Saccharomyces cerevisiae S288C: one gene and its partner. The gene in region 1 interacts genetically with each later gene. Each region holds a gene or a part of one and is shown in the gene's direction. Other genes may lie near its edges.

What was found. Genes that interact genetically often act in the same process or in processes that back each other up.
Region 2: mutations in FES1 (region 1) and HSP42 impair growth when combined (synthetic growth defect), as found in Saccharomyces cerevisiae (one study listed by BioGRID).

Annotation. Positions count from the first base shown.
Region 1 is NC_001134.8:441,757-446,589, reverse strand, and holds FES1 (Hsp70 nucleotide exchange factor FES1), read left to right. Parts: upstream 1-1,896; coding exon 1,897-2,769; downstream 2,770-4,833. Other genes in the region: exocyst subunit EXO84, read left to right, coding at 1-1,528; MMS4 (Mms4p), read right to left, coding at 3,000-4,833.
Region 2 is NC_001136.10:802,320-808,248, forward strand, and holds HSP42 (heat shock protein HSP42), read left to right. Parts: upstream 1-4,301; coding exon 4,302-5,429; downstream 5,430-5,929. Other genes in the region: YDR170W-A (gag protein), read left to right, coding at 876-2,198.

The DNA of each region.
Region 1 (4,833 bases):
GGTTAGAGCAAATATAAATGATTTAAACGAGGTTTTGGATCAGTGCACCAAAATAGCTGAAAAAAGGTTACAATTGCAGGATCAAATAGATCAAGAGAGACAAGGCAATTTTAACAATGTTGAAAGTCATTCTAATAGTCCAGCGTTACTTCCGCCTTTGAAAGCAGGACAAAATGGGAATCTCATGAGGAGGGACAGATCGAGCGTCTTGATATTAGAGAAATTTTGGGATACGGAACTGGATCAGCTGTTTAAGAACGTTGAAGGTGCTCAGAAGTTTATCAATTCTACGAAAGGAAGACATATTTTAATGAATAGTGCCAATTGGATGGAATTAAATACTACCACTGGTAAACCCTTGCAGATGGTACAGATTTTCATTTTGAATGATTTGGTACTTATCGCCGATAAATCAAGAGATAAGCAAAATGACTTTATAGTAAGCCAGTGCTATCCTTTAAAGGATGTCACTGTCACGCAAGAGGAATTTTCCACTAAGAGGCTACTTTTCAAGTTTAGCAATTCGAATTCAAGTTTGTATGAATGTAGAGACGCAGACGAATGCTCTAGGTTGTTGGACGTTATAAGAAAGGCTAAGGATGATTTGTGCGACATATTCCATGTAGAAGAGGAGAACTCTAAACGTATTAGAGAGTCCTTTAGATATTTGCAATCTACGCAACAAACCCCAGGTAGAGAAAACAACAGAAGCCCTAACAAAAACAAAAGACGTAGTATGGGGGGTTCAATCACTCCTGGCCGAAATGTAACAGGCGCAATGGATCAATATCTTTTGCAGAACCTAACTCTATCAATGCATTCGAGGCCAAGGTCCAGAGATATGAGTTCAACCGCCCAGAGGCTTAAATTCCTGGATGAAGGCGTGGAAGAGATAGATATTGAATTAGCTAGGCTTAGGTTTGAAAGTGCCGTGGAAACATTATTGGATATTGAATCACAATTGGAGGATCTTTCTGAAAGAATTTCTGATGAAGAGTTAATGTTACTTAACCTGATATCTTTAAAAATCGAACAAAGAAGAGAGGCCATTTCTAGCAAACTTTCTCAGAGCATTTTATCATCGAATGAAATAGTGCATTTGAAAAGCGGTACTGAAAATATGATTAAGTTAGGATTACCAGAGCAAGCTCTTGACCTATTCTTACAGAATAGATCTAATTTCATTCAAGATTTGATTCTACAGATTGGATCAGTGGACAATCCTACGAACTATTTGACTCAATTGGCTGTTATCAGGTTCCAAACCATTAAAAAAACAGTGGAGGACTTCCAGGATATTTTCAAAGAACTCGGGGCTAAGATTTCTTCCATCCTAGTAGATTGGTGTAGCGACGAAGTGGATAATCACTTCAAATTGATAGACAAGCAATTACTGAATGATGAAATGTTATCCCCAGGGTCCATTAAGTCATCCAGAAAACAGATAGATGGATTGAAGGCCGTAGGTTTGGATTTTGTCTACAAATTGGACGAGTTTATCAAAAAGAACAGTGATAAAATTCGCTAAACAAGATCACAGAAAATAAACCTCACTTCAATATATATGATGTGTAGGTAGGGTATATACTTATACCACTGCTGTCGACAGTGTACTAACCTATTTCCTATTTTGTAGGTAAGCTTTTCAGCTACTGGTTGGTCAAGTTGGGCCCTATTAAGGTTGTAATCAGCTTATTCGTTTGAAATGATATACCTCTTGGACTGGAATCTTCTGGAAGTTTTTTGGAGGTTAGAAAAGAGGAAGGCATCTCGCGCTGACAGAAATTTGCTTATAAACCAGCGATTGGCTATATCTAAAAGAGCACTCATCGTCAGTCAGAAAGCCATTACCTTTCAACGAAAGAGTAAAATAGAAAAAAAAACACATACATAACTATGGAAAAGCTATTACAGTGGTCTATTGCGAATTCTCAAGGGGACAAAGAAGCTATGGCTAGGGCCGGCCAACCTGATCCTAAATTGCTACAGCAGTTATTCGGTGGTGGTGGTCCTGACGATCCAACCTTAATGAAAGAATCCATGGCTGTTATTATGAATCCGGAGGTTGACTTAGAAACAAAACTCGTTGCATTTGACAACTTTGAAATGTTGATTGAGAACTTAGATAATGCTAATAATATCGAAAATTTAAAACTGTGGGAGCCATTGTTGGATGTTCTTGTTCAGACGAAGGATGAAGAACTACGTGCTGCTGCTTTATCCATTATTGGAACGGCTGTGCAAAACAACTTGGATTCGCAAAATAATTTCATGAAATACGACAATGGTCTGCGAAGCCTTATCGAAATAGCTAGTGACAAGACAAAGCCACTCGACGTGAGAACAAAAGCTTTTTACGCACTATCTAATCTAATAAGAAACCACAAAGATATCTCAGAAAAGTTTTTCAAATTAAATGGGCTCGACTGCATAGCACCTGTATTAAGTGATAACACCGCCAAACCAAAACTGAAAATGAGAGCCATTGCCTTATTGACCGCATATTTGTCATCTGTTAAGATTGATGAAAATATAATCAGTGTGCTGAGAAAGGATGGAGTAATTGAAAGTACGATTGAGTGCTTGTCTGACGAGAGTAACTTGAACATCATAGATAGAGTTCTGTCTTTTCTCTCTCACCTGATATCTTCCGGAATAAAATTTAATGAACAGGAATTGCACAAATTGAACGAAGGTTACAAACATATCGAGCCTCTAAAGGACAGACTTAATGAAGACGATTATTTAGCCGTAAAGTATGTATTATGATTACGTCCGTAGAAATAAAATGATATTACATTCACCATTTCATATTATCTTTAACCGGAATCTCGAACATTTATTATTAACACTGTTTTATTTTATTACGAATATTTATCAATAGTACTTTCTGTAAAATGGAATTCATTAAAAAGGTAAGGAGGGGGAAATAGAGCTGCAGTGATTTTCAAAACGACTGCCTTAAGGTATGTTCTTATATACAAAGTTTCGTTCGATCATCATTCAATAGTATCATTTGGATCAGTACAAGTAAACAGTTTGTACAATCTTTTTTCTACTGCCTCAGTCATCAAGTATTTACCTTCGTTGTCTGATTGCAGTCTTCCCTTTTCAATATCTTCAAGTAATGATTGAAAACTGGGGTATAGGCTCACGACATTATTCGCCTTCATTTCAGGCATTCTCCCTATCTGATGAAAGGTTTTCTTTAGCGTTTCTGTACTATCCTGAGCGGATTTTACATTCAAATGAGCATATTTCATATACCGAATTGCGGGATCCATGCGCTGTTTTCCAATTAATGACACTAGGTTCGGCAGAGAATTAATAAACTCCATATGTGAATTTACAGTATGTATTTTGACATGCCATTCTCTATCAATGAAGCGCAATCGTTGCTCTAAATCAAATTTTTTTATCCCTAATTTTCCAACTTGGCTTGATTTTTTACTTCTCGGTCTTAAAGCTTCTTCTGTTCCTGACAATCGTTGTTCTACCCTAGCTTTGTACTTTTCATTTTCTAATTGGAAAATAGCTCTTTTGAGTTTATTTATATCGCTTAGTATAAGAATCACATGTTTTCCATTCTTTGAGAAAAATCGTATCTTCCTATATAATTCTTTCTTTTGTGAAGTGTATTGTTCAAAAAATTCTTGCGCATCATAATATAGAATCAAAACGTTTTCTTCAACTATTTTGGGATCACAGGGGTAATAGAAATCGTTACTAAAGTCGTAAATACTGTCACATTTTCGAAGAAATCTTAAAAGCGGCATAGAATCGTTATAGCTTGATTGCACAACTGCTGGTGCCAATTGTTGTTGCAGATCACTGTCTCCTTTTTTAAATAACTGGAGAAGGCTAGGCGAAAACTCTATAATCATTTGAGAGCGTGCTTTTATATTATCTCGATATATCTGGTTAACTCGCTTAAAAGCATTTTTGTTTTCTTTTAACAAGTGTCGTATTTTGTTTTTTGAGTCTTCTCTAGTATAGTATTGCCCATAGGCAATATAATTCTCTAGTTGTGATACCTCTCTGGCAGTATTTTTAGTACATTTGGGATCCTCAGCCGTTAATGTTTTCGAGCGTTTTGCTTCCTGAAAACAATTAGCGTTGCTAAAGATTGGTTGACTACCTGTCCTTACTATGTTAGACCCCTTTGCAGGGGTTGAAAGTACATCAGTAGTAATACTATCTGAGGAATCGAGAAATTTAGAAAGATTTAGTTCTACTGTATCAGGTAGTTTGGTGCTGTTGATTAGTGTTCTTGATAACGCTATGGTTCTCTTCTTTCCTTTCGGAAGGTGTTCTTGCTCGTCTTCACCTTTATTGTATACCCTTTTTGCCATGGATGTCCCATCTTCACCATGATTTTGTTTTCCTGCTGGTTTCAGGCTATTATCTGGTGAAGAATTTTCATTAGCAATCGAATTGTGCTTTTCTTCAGTTGGGTTCTCATGTTTTACTGGAGACAGTGGAAAATCGAACAGTATATCAGCTGCTCCTATCTGTGATTTCGGACTATCACTAATGTCACTATTGGTTTTTCCGATTCCTTGTGTCTTATATTCGCAGTCAACAGCAATAGGCTCTGGATTTTTTAAAGACTGTACTCCCCATTTCTCTGCGATGTCCCTCAAATTGTATTGTGATTTGTTGTGCTTCTTTCCACTCGACTCAAGATCAGCTGACCATTCATCACTTATTAGATCATCCAAAAGTTTTTTCGCGTTTCCTTTTGCATTATTCTCATTTCTGAGAGACGAATCTATGATGGAATTTACTGTTGTAGAAAAGTCATCTAGCTTGCTTATACTGATATCTTGGAAG
Region 2 (5,929 bases), on another chromosome or scaffold:
TCTGGAGAAACTTAAAAGAAATCGAGTATAGCTTAGTTGCAGAAAATATTTTATATTTCTCCGGAAAATGACTTCAATTTCTATTAGTCTGCGTTTATTGAACAATTGGAGAGAAGCCAATGATGCTTTTTAAAGAAATGATGTAAATCCCAACTTTGAGCTTCCTTTCTCGTTGCTTTGTTTTTCCCTCGCCTCGATATTATAAAATTTACTCGGCGCCTTGATAAAAACTAAACGTTCACCTTCTTTCCTGTAGAGGGAAAATAACAATATGTATAAGCCTTCTCCGACATCAAAAAACTGTAAGAGCTTCAAAAGTACTAAAGTGTATATCTTAAGAGCATCGTTGGCTCCACTCTAACACATCAACAAAAAATATCAATGTTGATTTGTTAGAGTAAAAATAAAAAGAGGTCCTACCCGGATTCGAACCGGGGTTGTCCGGATCAAAACCGAAAGTGATAACCACTACACTATAGGACCGACAATTCATGTTAAATCCTCCTTTTTTAGGCTTTTATAAGTTACTTTGACTAGAGATGACTAGAAATGATTATATTACACGCACACACAATACACACATAGTGTTGGAATAAAAATCCACTATCGTCTATCAACTAATAGTTATATTATCAATATATTATCATATACGGTGTTAAGATGATGACATAAGTTATGAGAAGCTGTCATCGAAGTTAGAGGAAGCTGAAGTGCAAGGATTGATAATGTAATAGGATAATGAAACATATAAAACAGAATGAGGAATAATCGTAATATTGGTATATAGAAATATAGATTCCATTATGGGGATTCCTGACCCTCGAGGAGAACTTCTAGTATATTCTGTATACCTAATATTATAGCCTTTATCAACAATGGAATCCCAACAATTATCTCAACATTCACCCATTTCTCATGGTAGCGCCTGTGCTTCGGTTACTTCTAAAGAAGTCCAAACAACTCAAGATCCGTTAGACATTTCAGCTTCCAAAACAGAAGAATGTGAGAAGGTTTTCACTCAGGCTAATTCTCAACAGCCAACAACACCTCCCTCAGCTGCTGTTCCAGAGAACCATCATCATGCCTCTCCTCAAGCTGCTCAAGTACCATTGCCACAAAATGGGCCGTACCCACAGCAGCGAATGATGACTCCCCAACAAGCCAATATTTCTGGTTGGCCAGTATACGGGCACCCATCTTTGATGCCGTATCCACCTTATCAAATGTCACCTATGTACGCTCCACCTGGAGCACAATCACAGTTTACACAATATCCACAATATGTTGGAACACATTTGAACACCCCGTCACCTGAGTCAGGTAATTCATTTCCTGATTCATCCTCAGCAAAGTCTAATATGACATCCACTAATCAACATGTCAGACCACCGCCAATCTTAACCTCACCTAATGACTTTCTAAATTGGGTTAAAATATACATCAAATTTTTACAAAATTCGAATCTCGGTGATATTATTCCGACAGCAACAAGAAAAGCCGTACGTCAGATGACTGATGACGAACTCACCTTCTTATGTCACACCTTTCAACTATTTGCTCTATCTCAATTCTTACCCACCTGGGTTAAAGACATCTTATCTGTTGATTATACAGATATCATGAAAATTCTTTCCAAAAGCATTAACAAAATGCAGTCTGATACTCAAGAGGTAAATGACATTACGACCCTAGCAAATTTGCATTATAATGGAAGTACACCTGCAGATGCATTTGAAGCAGAAGTCACAAACATTCTTGACAGACTAAAAAACAATGGCATTCCTATCAATAACAAGGTAGCATGCCAATTCATTATGAGAGGTCTATCTGGCGAATACAAATTTTTACGCTACGCACGTCATCGATATATACATATGACAGTTGCTGATCTGTTTTCAGACATACATTCTATGTATGAAGAACAACAGGAATCAAAACGTAATAAATCTACTTATAGGAGAAGTCCGAGTGATGAGAAGAAAGACTCTCGCACCTATACGAATACAACCAAACCCAAATCCATAACTCGGAATTCCCAAAAACCAAATAATTCACAATCAAGAACAGCCAGGGCTCATAACGTATCCACATCTAATAACTTTCCCGGCCCTGATAACGATCTCATAAGAGGATCAACTACTGAACCGATTCAATTGAAGAATAAACACGACCTTCACCTTAGGCCAGGAACTTACTGAATCTACGGTGAATCACACTAATCATTCTGATGATGAACTCCCTGGACACCTCCTTCTCGATTCAGGAGCATCACGAACCCTTATAAGATCTGCTCATCACATACACTCAGCATCATCTAATCCTGACATAAACGTAGTTGATGCTCAAAAAAGAAATATACCAATTAACGCTATTGGTGACCTACAATTTCACTTCCAGGACAACACCAAAACATCAATAAAGGTATTGCACACTCCTAACATAGCCTATGACTTACTCAGTTTGAATGAATTGGCTGCAGTAGATATCACAGCATGCTTTACCAAAAACGTCTTAGAACGATCTGACGGCACTGTACTTGCGCCTATCGTAAAATATGGAGACTTTTACTGGGTATCTAAAAAGTACTTGCTTCCTTCAAATATCTCCGTACCCACCATCAATAATGCCCATACAAATGAAAGTACACGCAAGTATCCTTATCCTTTCATTCATCGAATGCTTGCGCATGCCAATGCACAGACAATTCGATACTCACTTAAAAATAACACCATCACGTATTTTAACGAATCAGATGTCGACTGGTCTAGTGCTGTTGACTATCAATGTCCTGATTGTTTAATCGGCAAAAGCACCAAACACAGACATATCAAAGGTTCACGACTAAAATACCAAAATTCATACGAACCCTTTCAATACCTACATACTGACATATTTGGTCCAGTTCACAACCTACCAAAGAGTGCACCATCCTATTTCATCTCATTTACTGATGAGACAACAAAATTCCGTTGGGTTTATCCATTACACGACCGTCGCGAGGACTCTATCCTCGATGTTTTTACTACGATACTAGCTTTTATTAAAAACCAGTTTCAGGCCAGTGTCTTGGTTATACAAATGGACCGTGGTTCTGAGTATACTAACAGAACTCTCCATAAATTCCTTGAAAAAAATGGTATAACTCCATGCTATACAACCACAGCGAATTCCCGAGCACATGGAGTCGCTGAACGGCTGAACCGTACCTTATTAGATGACTGCCGTACTCAACTGCAATGTAGTGGTTTACCGAACCATTTATGGTTCTCTGCAATCGAATTTTCTACTATTGTGAGAAATTCACTAGCTTCACCTAAAAGCAAAAAATCTCAAAATTCCCAATATTCACATAGTCTAAAGTACCGATAGCAACCAACATATATAAACAGTAGTATTTTACGAAGCTGAATTGCAAGATTAGTGAGAGGAGAATAACCGGATAATTTTTTTGGATTACGTTATTGTTAAAGGCTATAATATTAGGTGAAACAGAATGTCCTAGAAGTTTTTTTCTTTCATGTTAAATTTATTGATTCTTGCGCTTCAGCTTTTATAAAACATAAGAACTGTTTCTTCACGTTAACTTCTTGTGCCACATATAATGATGTACTAGTAATATGGGTACTATTTGGCAGATGATATTTGATTTTTATTCAAGACGGTTACTGTTTCTACGATTGATATTTTCATTCCTGGATATCATCTTGCCAGATCACTTACAATTTAGGCCGCGCCTGAATTGAAGAGTACTTCAATACGTAGTGTACTGTCCAAACTCTCTTCCAAATTTTTAATATTTAGCTGGGGTTGGGTAACAAGTGAGCAAGGGAAAAAGTGAACATTTTAAGAAGAACAATAAAATAGCAAGAGATGGAATGGTAATGCTTGGCTCTCGAGAAGAGTAGCATAAAACGAGACTTGTTTAAAACAGGATATGACATACTTCAATTCAGCTTTCCCTATCAGCCGCTCGAGCAGTTATATAGGTGTGTTGCCGGAGTAATTTGGCGGAGGCCAACAGTGGCTAGGCGGCAACGCCTGGAACACGCGCTTAAAAGTTCTGGAAGGTTCGCGAATTGAGAACTGCTCAGGGGCGAATACAGGGGCGGCCTTGGCGGCAGGGGGGAGGCCTCTGTGAAGTTAGTTATATAAGACTTGCTGTCATCGTTTTTTTGATCCCGGCAGGAACTATCTTTTATTCTCATACATACGGTCAAGAAGTATAATTATACATAACATAGGGACACGTTCAGGCAATTGTCCATATCCCACACAAATTAAGATCATACCAAGCCGAAGCAATGAGTTTTTATCAACCATCCCTATCTCTTTATGACGTTTTGAACGCATTATCCAACCAAACTGGCCAGAGAGGGCAGCAAGGATATCCTCGCCAACCACAAAGGCCACAGAGATACCATCCCCATTATGGACAAGTGCACGTTGGCGGGCATCATCCTCGTCATCATCCATTGTATAGCAGATACAATGGTGTTCCTAATACCTATTACTACCAGTTCCCTGGACAAGCCTATTACTATAGTCCTGAATACGGTTATGATGACGAGGATGGTGAAGAAGAGGACCAAGACGAAGATATGGTGGGTGACAGCGGCACTACAAGACAGGAAGATGGTGGCGAGGACAGCAACTCGAGAAGATATCCATCATATTACCATTGTAATACTGCCAGGAATAATAGGACCAACCAACAGGCAAACAGTTTAAACGACTTATTAACCGCGTTAATAGGTGTTCCACCATATGAAGGCACTGAACCAGAAATTGAAGCAAATACCGAACAGGAGGGCGAAAAGGGAGAAGAAAAGGATAAGAAGGATAAGTCTGAAGCACCCAAAGAGGAAGCTGGCGAAACCAACAAAGAAAAACCTTTGAATCAGCTGGAGGAATCGTCGAGACCACCATTAGCCAAAAAATCTTCATCGTTCGCTCACCTACAAGCGCCTTCCCCAATACCTGACCCGTTACAAGTATCCAAGCCTGAAACGAGAATGGACTTACCATTTTCACCAGAAGTGAATGTCTATGATACCGAGGACACTTACGTAGTTGTTCTTGCGTTACCAGGTGCTAACTCTAGGGCTTTCCACATTGATTACCATCCATCTTCTCATGAGATGCTCATCAAGGGTAAGATCGAAGACAGAGTGGGCATTGATGAAAAATTCTTGAAGATCACGGAACTAAAATATGGTGCGTTTGAGAGAACCGTTAAATTCCCCGTGCTGCCACGCATTAAGGACGAAGAAATTAAAGCTACTTACAACAACGGTCTACTACAAATTAAGGTGCCTAAAATTGTCAATGACACTGAAAAGCCGAAGCCAAAAAAGAGGATCGCCATTGAGGAAATACCCGACGAAGAATTGGAGTTTGAAGAAAATCCCAACCCTACGGTAGAAAATTGAATATCGTATCTGTTTATACACACATACATACATTTATATTTATAATAAGCGTTAAAATTTCGGCAGAATATCTGTCAACCACACAAAAATCATACAACGAATGGTATATGCTTCATTTCTTTGTTTCGCATTAGCTGCGCTATTTGACTCAAATTATTATTTTTTACTAAGACGACGCGTCACAGTGTTCGAGTCTGTGTCATTTCTTTTGTAATTCTCTTAAACCACTTCATAAAGTTGTGAAGTTCATAGCAAAATTCTTCCGCAAAAAGATGAATCTTAGTTCTCAGCCCACCAAAAGAGGTACATGCTAAGATCATACAGAAGTTATTGTCACTTCTTACCTTGCTCTTAAATGTACATTACAACCGGGTATTATATCTTACATCATCGTATAATATGATCTTTCTTTATGGAGAAAATTTTTTTTTCACTCGACCAAAGCTCCCATTGCTTCTGAAGAGTGTAGTGTATATTGGTACATCTTCTCTTGAAAGACT